Linked DNA regions of Daphnia pulex. The protein of the gene in region 2 purifies or fractionates together with the protein of the main gene of each other region. This does not show direct contact. Links are inferred from orthologs where the notes say so. Each region holds a gene or a part of one and is shown on either strand. Other genes may lie near its edges. The genes, in order: translation initiation factor eIF-2B subunit gamma-like, translation initiation factor eIF-2B subunit alpha-like and translation initiation factor eIF-2B subunit epsilon-like.

What was found.
Region 1: the proteins of translation initiation factor eIF-2B subunit alpha-like (region 2) and translation initiation factor eIF-2B subunit gamma-like purify together in Homo sapiens (affinity purification with mass spectrometry; 7 studies listed by BioGRID and IntAct, counting the BioPlex papers as one, with this or other methods). This does not show direct contact. The link is inferred for Daphnia pulex from reciprocal best matches to the Homo sapiens genes EIF2B1 and EIF2B3.
Region 3: the proteins of translation initiation factor eIF-2B subunit alpha-like (region 2) and translation initiation factor eIF-2B subunit epsilon-like purify together in Homo sapiens (affinity purification with mass spectrometry; 7 studies listed by BioGRID and IntAct, counting the BioPlex papers as one, with this or other methods). This does not show direct contact. The link is inferred for Daphnia pulex from reciprocal best matches to the Homo sapiens genes EIF2B1 and EIF2B5.

What each region holds. Positions count from the first base shown.
Region 1 is NC_060019.1:11,425,482-11,430,767, reverse strand, and holds translation initiation factor eIF-2B subunit gamma-like, read right to left. Parts: upstream 3,013-5,286; 5' UTR 2,898-3,012; exon of another isoform or gene 2,855-2,897; intron 2,694-2,854; exon of another isoform or gene 2,676-2,693; 5' UTR 2,664-2,675; coding exon 2,516-2,663; intron 2,458-2,515; coding exon 2,303-2,457; intron 2,235-2,302; coding exon 2,069-2,234; intron 1,971-2,068; coding exon 1,763-1,970; intron 1,689-1,762; coding exon 1,552-1,688; intron 1,481-1,551; coding exon 1,290-1,480; intron 1,225-1,289; coding exon 1,159-1,224; intron 1,096-1,158; coding exon 947-1,095; intron 890-946; coding exon 792-889; intron 725-791; coding exon 672-724; 3' UTR 494-671; downstream 1-493. Other genes in the region: vacuolar protein sorting-associated protein 33A-like, read right to left, coding at 3,946-4,012, 4,074-4,200, 4,273-4,567, 4,635-4,739, 4,803-4,890, 4,952-5,061. UniProt on the Homo sapiens protein: Acts as a component of the translation initiation factor 2B (eIF2B) complex, which catalyzes the exchange of GDP for GTP on the eukaryotic initiation factor 2 (eIF2) complex gamma subunit.
Region 2 is NC_060023.1:2,530,814-2,535,508, reverse strand, and holds translation initiation factor eIF-2B subunit alpha-like, read right to left. Parts: upstream 2,935-4,695; 5' UTR 2,584-2,934; coding exon 2,571-2,583; intron 2,512-2,570; coding exon 2,404-2,511; intron 2,336-2,403; coding exon 2,196-2,335; intron 2,132-2,195; coding exon 1,754-2,131; intron 1,695-1,753; coding exon 1,569-1,694; intron 1,509-1,568; coding exon 1,350-1,508; 3' UTR 1,283-1,349; downstream 1-1,282. Other genes in the region: target of rapamycin complex 2 subunit MAPKAP1-like, read left to right, coding at 1-161; uncharacterized protein LOC124198557, read right to left, coding at 301-875, 932-1,067; palmitoyltransferase ZDHHC6-like, read right to left, coding at 3,262-3,394, 3,464-3,654, 3,720-3,935, 3,998-4,138, 4,209-4,288, 4,344-4,427, 4,483-4,567, 4,635-4,695.
Region 3 is NC_060026.1:13,821,991-13,827,316, reverse strand, and holds translation initiation factor eIF-2B subunit epsilon-like, read right to left. Parts: upstream 3,472-5,326; 5' UTR 3,300-3,471; coding exon 3,162-3,299; intron 3,093-3,161; coding exon 2,776-3,092; intron 2,698-2,775; coding exon 2,523-2,697; intron 2,458-2,522; coding exon 2,216-2,457; intron 2,151-2,215; coding exon 2,028-2,150; intron 1,962-2,027; coding exon 1,808-1,961; intron 1,749-1,807; coding exon 1,556-1,748; intron 1,483-1,555; coding exon 1,252-1,482; intron 1,193-1,251; coding exon 1,020-1,192; intron 956-1,019; coding exon 677-955; intron 606-676; coding exon 543-605; 3' UTR 460-542; downstream 1-459. Other genes in the region: translocator protein-like, read left to right, coding at 1-148; complement component 1 Q subcomponent-binding protein, mitochondrial-like, read right to left, coding at 4,175-4,324, 4,388-4,476, 4,534-4,733, 4,799-4,949, 5,012-5,228. UniProt on the Homo sapiens protein: Acts as a component of the translation initiation factor 2B (eIF2B) complex, which catalyzes the exchange of GDP for GTP on eukaryotic initiation factor 2 (eIF2) gamma subunit.

The DNA.
Region 1 (5,286 bases), on a different chromosome or scaffold from region 2:
CGCAAGAGGCGAAATCGAAATGTCATTTATAATCGAAGAAAAGAACATCTTCAAATTATAAGTTGTATAATTAATTGATGACATTTTTTTAAATTGTTTGAAACTGAATGATTGAGATGAAGAATTCTTTTTTTGCTGATAACATGTTTCACGGCGCGTAAATTGAAAAGAAGACGGATTATAAATCAGTAAGTAAACAGACACTACGCATAGATTTAAAAAATAGTTAGTTGTATCTAAATCATGTCGCGGTATTCTTATACGCCTATAGACGATCCGGATTTAAGTAAATAAATAGACGTCGTTATTTTTTAAGAAGAAAAAGTTGAACCAACCGAGAACATTAAATAAGAAATAAAAACAAATTCTCGTTCAGCTTCGGGTTAGATTTTTTCTGCTTCGCGGTTAAAAAAGGATGTATCACTAGATGCACAATTTTAATACATCTTCTTCAGTTCAAGTTTAATCGTAATTAAAAAAATATTACTAGATATGTAATTAGCAAATTTTATTGTTTGTATACTTTCAACCAAAATTCAAGGAGATGTCTCGCAATTTAGGCATACCAACGGCCCACGCAAACAGCGCCTTTCAATTGTAAGGTATCGCCCGAAGGATTATCACCACTTATTAGTTAGTTATTTGAGAAAAACATCTCAAATAACTTAAACTCATATTTCCAAGAGCCGATCAGCATCAACCAAAACTTCGTTGGTAGATTTGCCTAAGTGCGAAGAATTGAAACGTGAGAATGGCAACCTTTTCTGTTTATCATTTAAAGTATAACTTACAGTTGCTATGTACGGTATGTCCCACTATGCAGTCTTTTAAATCGCAACTATTCTCAATTACCGAATTATCCATCAGAATGCTGCCTTGAAGAGTTGTTCTAAAAAGAAGACAATTCATATACGTTGTAGCAGAAAAATAAATAATCTCATCTTACTCTTTCATGATCGTAACGTTATCCATGATGATACAATTGGTAATCCTAACTTTTTCTCCAATATTGCAACCTTGACCAATAACCGAATGCTTAATAGAGCACTTGTCCGATAACTGACTCGTTTCACCAATAAGGCAATCAGTTCCCACCTATATTATAAAAAATGTTATAATGTTTATCCAACATTTAAAAGTTATAAGGGTCTTCGTTACTTGTGCTTTGGATACGGGTGGTGTGATTTCCTCATCAGGAAACATTGTATTCCATCTTTTAATAACCTAAATTTCATTTTAAATAATAATAATATCGTCGATCGATTCTAGTTAACAATTTCTTTCTTTACTTGTCGGTTGAGCTCACAATAGTTGCTCAGCGAGTTTGCACGTAGACAAAAGCCTTCCTTGGCCACATAAGCGAAACAGCGGATATTATGGTCTTGGTACGGGCCACGCAAATCACCACGATGATCATTCCAAACAGAGTAGCTCCTGATTTTCTCTTCCTCTTCGACATCAACAAGGAAGCTGCAAATATCTTTACAAAAAAAGAAATTATAATACTATTTAGACTTTAGACGTAGAGATTTCAAATTCTATTTATAGTGCCTCGATTTGTAGTATTTAAAGAAACGACCGAGACATCCGCATTGGGGAGTTCTTTTTCGTTTTTTTTCCTTTGAGTTTTTATAAACTGTTTTCGCACAAGATGAGGCAAGACCTCACCCTTCAGCATAGTGAATGACCTATGTTAAAAAATTGTTTGTTTTTATGATTTATCCATTAACGCGTAATATATTTAAATAACGGTGTGACTTACCGGTTTTCGGCAATGTAATCACAGACCCATTTCTTAATAACGTAGAGATGAGCGTCAAGCAAGTTACCTTGAACACTTATCTGTGGGAAATGTTTCATCACTGATTTTCGGATTGAGAGTTCCTCCTCGTTTTCTGAAGTCAAATCTGCTTCTGAGACTAAGAAAACCAGACGAGGTGTTTGCAGATCCAATCCAACCAAGTCCCTTTCTAAAATTTTAAGGGAAGTTTTATATTATTATTTGATGAATATACTATCATACATTTTTTGTTATTAAAAGTAATCTAGTGAATGCTGAAAGATATACCTTGCTTGAATTTTGTTTTGGGACCAGGCACTGCAGTTGACATTACTTCTGGAGAGGACTGGCTAAAAAGTGCAGTCACACTTGATTGATGAGTTCTGTGTAAGTCAAACACATTGTGCAATGGTATATCACATACCAAGTCACAACTAATGACCAGGACATCAGTCTGCAATTCGATTGGATTTAAAGGTATAGTATATGTGATAAAAATCTTGCATTATTAAAGATTTATACCTTGATTCGGTCTTTGACTAGTCTAAGAGAATCAGCTGTTCCAAAGTCTTCATTTTTTGGAAGACATGCTATATCCAGTTTGATGTTCAAACCATACTTGCTTGGAATAGCTGCAACTTCAGCTCGAAACTGTTCATGGATAACAACTATGACATCTAAAAAGTAGTCCTTGTCACATAAAAGTAACTTTATTCAAAACAAAAACTGAAATACCTTCAAAACCAGCATTTTCCAACATTTTTAATGAAAACCATATCATTGGTCTGTTGCATATTGGTAATAGACACTTGGGACGGTCATGAGTTAAATCTGTCATACGTGAACCCCTTCCAGCAGCCATTATTACTGCTTGGTACTCCATGATTAAAGAACACTAGAATACAAATATAAACTAATAAATAGCAAACATAGAGAGAATTAGAAAATAAAAGGATGATGCGTTTTGTATCTGTTAGCACATGGAAAGGTAACACAAACGGTGTTACAGAAACGCACAACACAAACATTTCTAACTAAAAAAAATCGAACCAAACGGAAAGTATGTACGGGTACCTTAATTTAATGAATCGTAATAAAATAATAGCAGATATTTAACCTCACGGTAGACAAAATTAAACACGTTTCGTAAACAGCTGTAAACAGCAAAACACTAAAACACTAGCTCAAATTCTCAAAATGCAGTGGGTAAAATGCGGGCACGATGCGGGTTTGAGGCGGTTTGGCCAAAATCGTGGAAACACCTCCATGGAAAGCTTAACTCCGCCCACAAAGAGGGAGGAGCCAATTTGCAATTATTCACGGTTTATTATCCTTTTTTCAGGATCCTGCGACTTATTACTTATTAGACTTGCTTGAATTACCAACAAATAAGCTCCTCCTCCTTCTACTCCGATAAAATATACAAATTTTAAGCCACGATTTATTTTTGTCGATATCTAAAAATGTGTTAAGTAAGATCAGAAATAACGAAACAAGACCCTTCCAGGTTCGCCCTCGGGTATTAACGTGCAAGATATCAGTTAAAAGCTTTTGCTTATATTTTCAAAACAATTAAAATGTAGGAATTTCGTAAGATTTTGTTTATTGTAATTTCCTGGATTTTTTTTCTTTATCATTTACGAAATAAATTTATTATTATTTTATCATTTATCATTTTACGAAATTCTTGAGTTAAACTCAGACAGTGGCCCAATTTCTCCATCACAAGGGCTGAGGTAAAAAGGCAACAGTTCAGGTTACAAGATCGAAGCCATATTTTAGGAAAAAAGTTTGAGGCAAGGCAACAATTCAGGGAAACAGATGGAGGCAACAATTCGAGAAAAAAGATGGAGGCAATTAGCTGCAGTCGATGTTTAAGGACGTCAAGTAATTAAGATCTTCAGACAATCAGTAAAAAAGGATTTGTTTACTGATTGTCTTTAAGCCACTCCCTCAGCTCCCTTTCATCAGGTATATCCGGGTTGATCTAAAGAGAATACACAAGAAAAAAAAATCCCGATGAAAAAAACTGCTGGAGAAATATTATTGAGTTTAAACTAACCATGATTACCGAATCATCGAAGGAGTCTAGGAATATTTCTCCACTATCGCGTGCGAATGCAGAAACCTTAACACCTCCAAATGCAACAATGGCGTTATCCAGGCTACTGAGCTGAAATAGCTTTAGCTTTGCGACTGAGTGCAGTACCCACGGCTGAAAAGTTCTTGTCCCTGCGAAAATAAATAACTTTAAAACTGTCGGAAGCAAAATTTGTCTGATTAAAAATTTCACCTCAAATCAGCGTAAAGCTCTTCGGCCGAGTTTAGAACAACAGATTTAACAGAGCTACCATCAGAGCGAGGTGACTGGCCCGCATTTGATGAGGCTTGAAAATTTTCTCCTGGAAGCTTGACTGTATCTAAATAACAATGAAACCACAAAATGCAAGTAAAATAATTGTTTTACTCAGAAGCTAACAATACTTTCTTACTATGTTTTATTCCATGGAATTCGTCGATAAGACCCTCATAGGTCAACTGAGTGACAACAGGAGTTATCAAATCTACAGTCCTATCAATGATCATGAGAGTGTCGAACAACGGAGACATGGGGGGATCACAGTCTACCCCAATATCACGTCGCATTCGAGTCATCAATTCGAATACGTTACGGGCATGGCGCCCCTTACCCACAACGTTGGGGAAAATGCCATATAAACTTTGGAGGGACATTAACCCATGAGCAATTTGGTGTAAGGAGCTGATTTCATTGTCAACATATAAATCCTGAGAATAAATTTGAAGAAATTGATGACAAGCAATCCCTTTCAAAGTTTGGCTCATAAATAAATACCTTGAAAACATTATCGAGTTCCATTGAAATGACATCACTATCTAGTGGGAAAAAATCAGCAGGCAGTTCATCAATAGAAGTAAGAGTTCCATACACTCCTTTGTCCTAAATGAAGTAATAATTTTGTCAACAATTTCTTCTTCGCTGATTTAAGTAACTTTAACCAACCTTGAGCCGCTGTTCACATACTGCACTTCGTCGGGAGACAAAAATTAACTGATATTCCTTACTAGCAGAATGTCCTTGGCTTTCTTCGCTGAAATGTAAATTAACTTATTGTTGACTATTTAAAGTTAAAATATGTAGATTATTCATACCTGTGCAAGTTATCGGCAATACAATCCATCAGCTCAACTTCAGGTCTTGTGATGAACAGCATATTTTTAACAGATATGGAAGGCAAGCGCCCAGGTTTTAACTGAAACATTTTTACAACATCTAGTTCCTTAAGAAAACTGTATTCTGCCACCAAACCAATGGGGCCAGTGAGTTGTTCATCCCAAAATATTGCCTAGCATAATTGATGAATTTACGTACATTTCTTAAATGGAATAGCACACACCAAAATACCTTTGTTCCACTGAACTTCTCTAAAAGAGAAACAATATCCTGTAACAATAACAAAACTGTTGACGAAATTTATTTTTACTGA
Region 2 (4,695 bases):
AAAGAAAATGGAGGCGTTTGCGAATTGAGTGTGACTCGAAGACCATCGAACAAGTTGTGGCGAAGTTAAAATTCATATTAGAAATCCGGGGAGGACTTTACCGCCAGGAGTACCTCCATCACATGTCATACGTCAACAAGAAAGCCAGCCTGATTCGTTAAAAGAAATTTTAATAATTCAATTGTTTGTTTAATAAACCTTAAAATGCGAAATGTCAATTTTTACAAAGTATAGCGGATTATGTAGCGGAAGAAAGGATTATTGTAGACGTCGTTATCCAGAAAGGAATGGGAGAAGGTCCTATGTCCATTGAAAAGTTGGAACTATCATGCTCTGAACTTCGTCTAGTTGACGCTCAACCGTTGATAAGGACCGATGTAGTTGTTGGGAATTTTTTTCCAGGTGTACGAGTCCTATGTAGTGGCGTGTTTGATATGAAACAATTTTCTTGTTGACTGCTGCAAAATCTGGTAAGCTCTTTAGAAACTTTACATCTTCAGATTTCAATCGGCCTGTTTCAATTTGCACTCTTCCCTTCAAGACATCTTTAAGCTTACTCTTTGCATCTAAATAGGCTTCTCTTCTCTTTTTGTATTCTTCATTCCACAGCAACTTCTCATTCTTCAGTTGTTTTGTGGCTGATCTTGTTCGTTTCTCAAATTTCTGATGAGCTTTATCTCCAGTAGAAACTAGAACTTTGTTTAGAATGTCTTCAATGTTATCCCGTAGCCTTTCTGAATAGGCAGCAACAGCATCTTGCTCTTTTTCTAAGGCATTAAACTTCATTTCCTTCAGGGTATGATTCAGACATAGTTCTGTTATTTTATGTTTCTTCCCAGAAGGAGGTAGGGATGAGTCTACCGCAGCACAAGCAGCTGTAAAAACTTCATAGTGAACAAATTGACAAACAATATCCACAACATTTCATTACCTCGAAAAGTTGAACCAGAACCACCACCAGTAATACTTCTGTTAAGACTTGGTCTCCTCTTTATGAAGTCATCAATGTTGTTTCTTTCTCTTGGAAATTTCTCCGGAATGTGGTCTTTATTTGGCTCATTTAACATCTTTTTCCTCACAGTTTTCTGTAGTTGTCTCAATTAAACTTTGTTATTATTCCCTAATTTTGATTGTTAAAAAGTTAGAGCTAAATTAGCACCAACGCTAACAACTTCAACGGTTTCCAATTTGAAGTGCATCGTTCGAAACGCCACCTTGCGACAGATGACCTTACTGCATGTTATATTTTCCACACGCGCAGGAAAATGTCTAAAATCACAAAAAAAGTGACATGAACGTGTATTTTATTTACACATTTATCGATGTTTTTATATTTAGACGACTCTCTTTCATAGATAAAGTTTAATTAATTCATCACTGACGGCTGATGGAGTGAGAATTCCCAAATCTGTGAAAAGCAAAGTCAAATATCCTGGTGGCGTGTAATCAACTTGAGGATGCTGATCGAGAAGATTAGAATGATTGGATTCAATAATAGTTGACGAGAACTAAAAAAATTCAACACAAGTTTCAGCATTATGGAAAATTGGTTAAAAAATTTAACATACTTTCAGTTCTTGGGGTAAATCGCGTTGGTTCAGCGGGTAGAGACGGACAAATTTGAAGCTCTCAGCGAGAACGTAAAAGGGTTTGTGCATTTCCTTGGCACACAGCGCCATAGTATATGTTCCAATCTATTTCAATAAATTTTTCAATTTTTTTAAATAGTCAAATAAATATATTTTATCCGTACCTTATTGATAATGCCTCCGCTTTCAACAACACCTTCAGCTCCAACAAGCACTAAATCCACTGATTCCATGACATAACCCATGGCCGAATCCAAAATGAGAGTCGAACCAATACTGTGTTTCAATAGCTCGTCTCTCATAGCGACACCACTTAGATCCGGGTGAGATTCAGTGATGAAAACATGGAAACGTTTTTTGGATATAACAGCTGCTTCAACTAGTGTTTGTAGAACCACTCTTGATTTGGAGTGAGTGAGGATTTTGTGTCCATCAAGAATAAAAGGAGCCCCTAGTCTTGCAATTTTAGGTCTAGCCTCTTGTAATTTCCTTAGAAAAATTTCTCCTCGTTTCTTCATAATCTCCTTGCAATCTTTGAAATTCTAAAAAGAATGTTTTATTTTAAATCTATTAAAAATTTATGATTCATATTTATAGACAACATACTGATTGTTCAAGAGAAGTAAGTGTGATAAACCGTTGAAACAGTTCACAGCCTGATTGAACTGATGTAATTGAGCATTCAGCTTTCTTCATTTCTTCTGTTGCTTTTCTCAGTTCTTCCGACAATCCACGAAGAGTTTCACCTGTGAATATGATAGTCTTTAATGTTGATAATGATTATGCTTATAGATATTATTTTGTTTTTACTAACCATCACCAAAGTTTTCCAATATATTCATTAATGTGCGGATAGCTGCAACAGCTGCTGAAACATCCGGCTCTTCTTTCACAATTTTTTGGAAAAAATCCAATACATTTCCTAAAAGCACATTGATTACATTAGTTTTTTTATTAACATTATTTAATAACTAAACCTACTTGTATTTTCCATTTTATACTTATATCTTTTTTGCGCACTAGTAAACTTTTTTCCTCTCTACTTAACTTGGAGTTTCAGCTAGAAGAGCAGCACAGCAGCTTGCCAGCTTGCCACCGTTCCAGCAGCAGACGACACAATGAAAAGTCAACACTCCAGTCAGTCAAAACACTTGAGTACTGTACTTGTTTCTGATTGGCCCTCACCGATTAGTCCCAGGGAAGGATCTGCCGAGAGCCCTAGATTGATATGTCCATTATGTCACACGCAACCGCAAACATTCATAAACTGCTGTTATCGTTTGATGAAAGAAGAATACTTAAGTCATTCTATTCTTTTCACATTCCGCGTTAAAAACAAAAATGTCGTCGTCAACGTTGCCATTCTTCATCGTGCATGCACACAGGTACGGGTAGGGTAGCACCGGTAGCACGACCGACGAGCGACGACCGCACGGCGCACGAGATATCTGTCGAAAGTGAAATAAACGTTCATTTTGCATTTTTTTTTTTATTTTTTTAACCATAGTTTATTTCAAGATTTTGTGAATTTGTCAGATGAAAACCACCCGAAACATTTTAGACAAGGTGCAATTTTAGGTGCTTTGCTTCAAAACAAAGTGGTGTGTAAATAAAAGTAAGATTATTGGAACTTTTTGTTGTCTTATCCATTCAATTAAACTAATTTAAACAATCATTCCTCTTTTTCATATTCCACATAGGAAGGAGAGCAGGATGTACGAGGAAACCAACCGCGCAGTGCTCGGCGCTCAGTTGGATTCATTTGAACTTGACCCCTTTCTTGAATTTCGCCGTAAAGCCAATATCTGATTAAAGGACAATTATAAAAGTTTTGAAAGGCAAAAATTTCTTGTTGGAAGTTGTTTTTATCATACTTTTTCCATCGAGTAACCGCCACCTTATCTCCAATCTGCAGAGAGATGCGTGTCTCGTCGGTGTATGGTGGCTGAAGACAAACCATAATGCCGAAACTAATAATAGGGAACCACCTTCCACTGTATGCTTTCTCTACTACGTATTCTACGCAGCGTTCCCTTTTAATCTTTTTCTGTTCAATTTGTTCAATCTGTCAAAAATGAATAAATAGCTATAAAAGGTAGAAAATCTATAGAACTATGCATAGGATTATACCGTGAAAGCGTATGGATGGCAATTGTCCCGGACTTTCCACTCGATGCCATCACCTTTAGGCTGGAAAGAGAAATTTATTACTTCAACCAGATTCTTTCGCCATCCTAAATTGTAGGGGTGAATGAAAGAGGGTTCATCGGTTCCTTCTCGACGATAAACAGCTTTTTCATGAACCCAGTCTTCAATGCCTGTTTGATTTCTTAAAACCACTTTCATCTATGAAAGAATCAATCACTTTTAGGTTAAATAAAGAACATATAATCCAAAGAAATTCAAACCTGGACAAAAAATAGAAAACCAACAGCAAACACTACTCCGGCTGCTAATCCTAAGGAAATCAGACTCATCACAAAAGGCCATAGTCCCAATATTATAAAAGGCACTTCTCGTAGATTTGAATGGTCGTAGTAATCAAATGTCTATTTTTAAACAATATGATTCGTTTTTAAATTGTTTGTAACAAGCATACAAATTTTAGATTTAGCCAACCGGGTGAAGAGCTCTGTACATGGTGCATGAAATTATTACGATGGCTTGGGCGCATCCAATAACAGCGGAAATGAGGAATGCTAACGAAACAATGGTGATTTATGAAACATAATATGAATGATTAGGTATTATTACCAAGAAAGTTGGTGTGATTGAAATGTCCAAGGCAGTTATTTATAAATATGCAGTGATGATCACGTTTCATAATACATCTATTGCCTGTGAAAGAGGAATTTGTCATCAAACAGAAGAGTAATTATTTTTATTGGGATACATTTTCTACAGTGATGAGATCTTGGTGCTTTGTATCCTTGGCACACAGTGCAGTACTGTAAAAACTGAGTATCCTCTTCCCTGGTCTAAATAAGTACAATGTGTTAGTTGATCTTAAAACTGTTAAACCTATTCAAACTAAACAAATTTTACCGGTTTCCAGTTTAGAGGTAAGTATCCTGGACCAACATGTAGTGAATATAGAAAATTGTAG
Region 3 (5,326 bases), on a different chromosome or scaffold from region 2:
CATCGCTTCTTGTGTCTACACTTTTAAATCTGTCAACGAAACGGCTTCTTACTTGATGATGCCCTACTTGGTCTGGGTGAGCTTCGCTTCGCTACTCACCTTCACCATTTGGAGAATGAATTTACCAGCAAACAAGAAAAAGATTTAAATGGATAATCGTTTGGTTTGGATTGCTTTCTTTCCATCCCACATTCCAACGTCTTCATTTGATGAGCATTTCCATTTACCGGTTAATCACAAAATTTCTCAAATAAATGCATCCGTTAAAATAATTTTGTACGTCCTTTTTCTTTACGATTTAACCCATTTGGAACTACGAAAGGATTTTCAAAATTGGTTTCTTTCACGACATGAACTGAATCGGTTACTCTTAAATACGCCACCATTACACTTATTACTTATGTGACCAACGCCTGTAATTTTCAATGGTTATCCAAGTAAATGTGAAGTAGTGACATATAAATTGTGAAAAAAGATATACTTCAATAAATTCGATATTTGTTACAGCTCTCAGAAACCAGGACAAATTCAAGTGCGACTTATCAATCCGATTCCTCCGATGATTCCTCTTCCGCTTCTTCCAGCCATGTAATAAATGGTTCCACCTGTTTCAAAACACAAACAAGTTAATAACAGGCCAAGGATCAAGTCAACTTTTCAAGAAATTAAGACGTACAGTTTTCCGGATAGTTTTCAATGCACTGGGATCGTTCGGTGGATTGGTGTACCACTCCAAAATTGCGTCCTCACTCAACACGTCCTCGCCGTACAAAAAATGGAGAACTTTACAAATAGATTTCACAAAATGGGAGTTATGAACTCCAAATTCTTCCAGAGCCTCGAGAGAATCCAACATCGACTGATTGTTTTTCAAGTAATTTCTCATGACAGGAAGAAAGTGCTGCAATATCGGCCTTAGAGCGACCCAATCTTCGTTGGTGCCAGTGGCGGCCTTCTGTAAAAGCCAACCAAATTTCAATCAAACATCTAATACAAAAAGATTCGCCGTTAAAGTTTACCTTAGTCATGACGGATGGCAACGAAAGCATAGCTTTGATAACGAGCATGTTCACCTCTTTCATGGTAACGTTATAAGCGTATTTGGACGAGTTAATTTCAAGAACCAAGTTGTCACCCTTGATTTTTTCTTCGTAGCCTCTTTGAAGACTCTCCAAGACTTCATTATAAAATGCTATAGAAAAATTCAACAAATTAGTAAATTAATTTTTTAGGTTCACATAGGCAACTTACATCTAGCATTCATATCCTCTGGCAGGTCGCCCACGTCCACTTCTTCTTCGTGTTCTTCATCTTCGTCGTTATCAGCTTCGTCTTCGTCTTCATCTTCTTCACTTTCTGAATCTTCATCAATGTCCAAGCCCCATAATTCATCAATCAAAGACTCTGCATCGGAATCTTCTTCGACGGGTCGTTGATAAACGTAAGCGACACTATCGGCACTAAACGGTTTAGCTACCTTATCTAAAAGGGGAAACAAAAATACCAATGTAACTATATTTAAATTAATAGACATACGTATTCAAGTTTGCATTACCATCTTCTTCGTCCGATGTTTCAAAGTCGTTATCACATTTGGGAGGATGGGCCATGAGGCGAGTATTGTCAGGGATTTTGGTACCGGCAGCTAAAACTACTCCGGGTCCAATGACACAGCCTCGGCCGATTTTGACTCCTTCATTTAACACAACACCATCGGCGATGAGAGCTACTTCAATGTGGCAGTTGTTCTAATTAAAAGCAAATTGTTTGATTATTTATCAAAAATAAAATTTTCGCTGGGTCTAACCTTGATGTTAACATCGTCCCAAATATAAGCATTATTGATGTACACGTCGTTTCCGATTGTGCAACGGCTGCCAATGACGGACTGGGTGACGAATGTGCGTTCTCCTATTTTAGAGTTTTCTCCTACCGCCACGTCCCTTTCCAAAACACTTTCCCTATTTCGCAAATAGGGTGTTATCATGGTAACATGGAAATAAAAAAGAGAAAAGGTTATTGTGTACTTGGCCAAGGTGACACCAGGCTGCTTGTAAACATTGTGACGTGATAAAGTGTGTCGAGGAGTTGTTTCACTCCGATTCAAATCGGGAACAAGCGGAAATGCCCATCGTTGAATAACATCTTTGCTGTAAAAATAAACATTTTCGTTACTTGATGAGTAGAATTTAAAATGTTGGAAAGTGTTCCTTACCTCACAGCATCATACATGGGAACGTTCGAAACATGTGCCGCGTATGATCCTTCCAACTGATGGTAGTAGATGGTATTATTAAGAATTTCTTCGTTGATGAGAATACCTCGGACAAAATCTCCCCACGTTTGGTAATCGAAATTGTCGGAAAAAAGCGGCAAAACCACGGGAGAACAAATAGAAATGTGCGTATCAACCAAATCATAGCGCAAATCAACAAGACCGTGCTCTTTAAACATTTCCTGTAGATTTGATATGAAAATCAATAAGAATCGTTGGTTTCGAAACACTGAAAGCAGAAACTCACCAAAGGAAAACTGAGCTTCTTCAGGTTTGTTGTTTGCTGGTAATTGAGAATACGACCGTTGGTGGGATTGATGGCTAAGACGAGTTCTTCTTCTGCAGAACGGGATCGATGACCCGGGAAAGATTTCTTAAAAATGTGTGTCATGACAATCCCTTTATCAGTTTTCCTCTTTTCTCTATTAAAGAGTGCATGAAATCAAAATAAAAACTTGATATGGATTTGATTACAACTTTATAGAGATGTTACAATTTACCTGTGCTCTTCTAATATGGGTATGAGCTGTACATTAGAAATGACATCAGCAGACATCAATATAAAGTCTCCTCTTATCAATGACTTTCCATCTATGTCTCGAAGGGAATCTCCAAGAGATCGACAGTCATCAGGGCTTTGAGAAATAACTTCAATGGACATAGGAGACACAGATCTCATCCATTTAGATTCTTTGAGGTACTGACGAATTTGATCAGCATGTGCAACACAGTAAACAAAGGTTTTCTGTACTCCACTAAGAAGTAGAGATTCCAAGGCATAGTCAATCATGGGCCTATTGACCAGCGGAAGAAGTGCCTGATGTAATAATAGTTAAACAGTTATATGTGTCCTCAACGTTAAAAAATCTAATTGTAGGATCTTCACCTTCGGTTTTGAATCAGTTACAGGTGCGAAGCGTATTGAAAAACTATCAGCGATTAGAACAGCAAGAACAACATCTTCTTGTTTAAGAACTTCAGAACCGGACTTGGACATTGATTTGGAAGTTTTATTGGAGCTCATTCTTTAATTCAGTATTTCAATTCTCTTGTGGCAAAGAAAAGTATTTCTTATAATTTACAACAGCTGTAATAAATAGTGTCCACATGTGAGCTCGTCCAAATTCAAGGAATTGCAGGAAGGGAATGGGATTATGGTAATGAGAAATGATGCAAAATATTGTCTGCTACAAAAGTTACTTTCTTTCGCCGCTAGGCTATCTCAATGGAGCAGACGATCGAATCAAAGTACACATGATTTGATAATGCTGTAAACTACCTAGTACATAATATGTTTTGAGGACCGGTTTTAATTGAAATTACAACCGTGTTGAATAAATTTTCAATCAAGAAAAGTGCTCTAATTTGTTAATGATCTCTGCTTATCCTGCCCAATCTTCATCTACAGTTCAAAGGTACAAGTGTGGGACACACAAAGCTCTTAAAGTATGTTAATTGATTATTGTATTTTTATTTTTCTAGGTTAAATTTGTACCATGAATAGTGTAAGTGAAGCCTGTAGCCAATTGAAGCAAAATTATGATGCATGTTTCAACACATGGTTCACAGAAAAATTCTTAAGAGGGGATCATTCAACAGACTCATGTGGTCCTTTCTTTAAGGTGTATCGTGAATGTGTTAGGGTAAGTTAATTTTGGTCCAACATTTCTGTCTTTTATAGATGTTTATCTACTCTTTTCTGTTTTAGAAAGCAATCCAGGAACAGAATATTGACCTTAAAGAAATAGAAAAAGAAGTAATGGGGACTGAAAATGAATTTAAGACCCCTGATGGTTCTAAATAACCATTGTTTTGGAAAACCATAAATAATAAATCAGCATTTTAAACAAAATGACTACATAGCTTTTTATTTTTCATCTCAAAACTATTCTAAACCTTTCATTTGCCTTGGACAAAAGACTGAAGGCTCTCTAACAAATTAATAAATAGATGGTGTTCCCGCTTGGTAGCTAGATCGCTCAGCTTTTCAGCAAATTCGTTGGATACTCCTCGTTCTTCGAGCAGATTCATCAGAAGGTCGTACATGTACTATAACGAAAATGTGAAATATCAGTTTAATTTGGTTAAAATATTGTTGACTTTAAAATATACCCCATCAAGAATGTCTCCAGCGACAGCATAAGTCTGATCATTATGTTTGTCCTCATATACTGCAAGTTCATCAATAGTGAAAATGTCATCTGAAAAAATCGAGTGTTATTTATATTGTTGGCTATTCAAATACAATTAACACTTACTTGGGGCATCTTCAACAGGCTCTCCTGCATCTTGAATGTAACTGCAGGCAAATCTGGTTACTTGATTTCCCTTCATTAGTTTGACTTCAAAGTGTGGTTTTGATTTCATTTCAGCCTGGGGAGGATTGTCAGCTTTGTTGTCAACTTCCTCACTGATGTCAGCATCAACAGAATGGTTGACGTTAACTGTTATCTCAATTCTGTTTAATGAATAAAATTAAGCCACAAGTTTCAATTTAGAATTGTCCCATAAAGATTTACTCACTGTTCATCATTAAATTTCTTAGACAATACTATCTCTGAACCATTGTGTTTAACATCAAATCCATCCAAGTTAGCGACAGGCCTGGCTTTGCTCATTCCCTTCTTCTCAGCAGCAATTTCCTCTGAGAGGAACTCAATCAGCTCTTTGTCCCCTATGATGCAACATATATTATGCTGTATTTAAATGTGACGTGAAATGGTTAAAATGTATTACCTCTTGTATGAACTCCTCTGCATTCTCCACATGGGCAGGAAGGGCTCAGGGGAGTATGTTTGAATGCTGGAGAAAGTTTTGTTGGGACAAATTGATTTGTGGGATTAGACATGTACCACAAAGACCTGGTAATGGGTTTCGACAGGATAGACCTCATGGACGCCGGTAACGCATGGCGTGAAACGTTTCGAACGACATTTATCACCGAAAATGACATTATGGGAATGAGATTTTGAACTTTAACAGAGTCTTACAAATTGAGATTTTAAAGAATGAATAGAGCGAACGAAGATGAACTTTATCAGCGAATTAAAT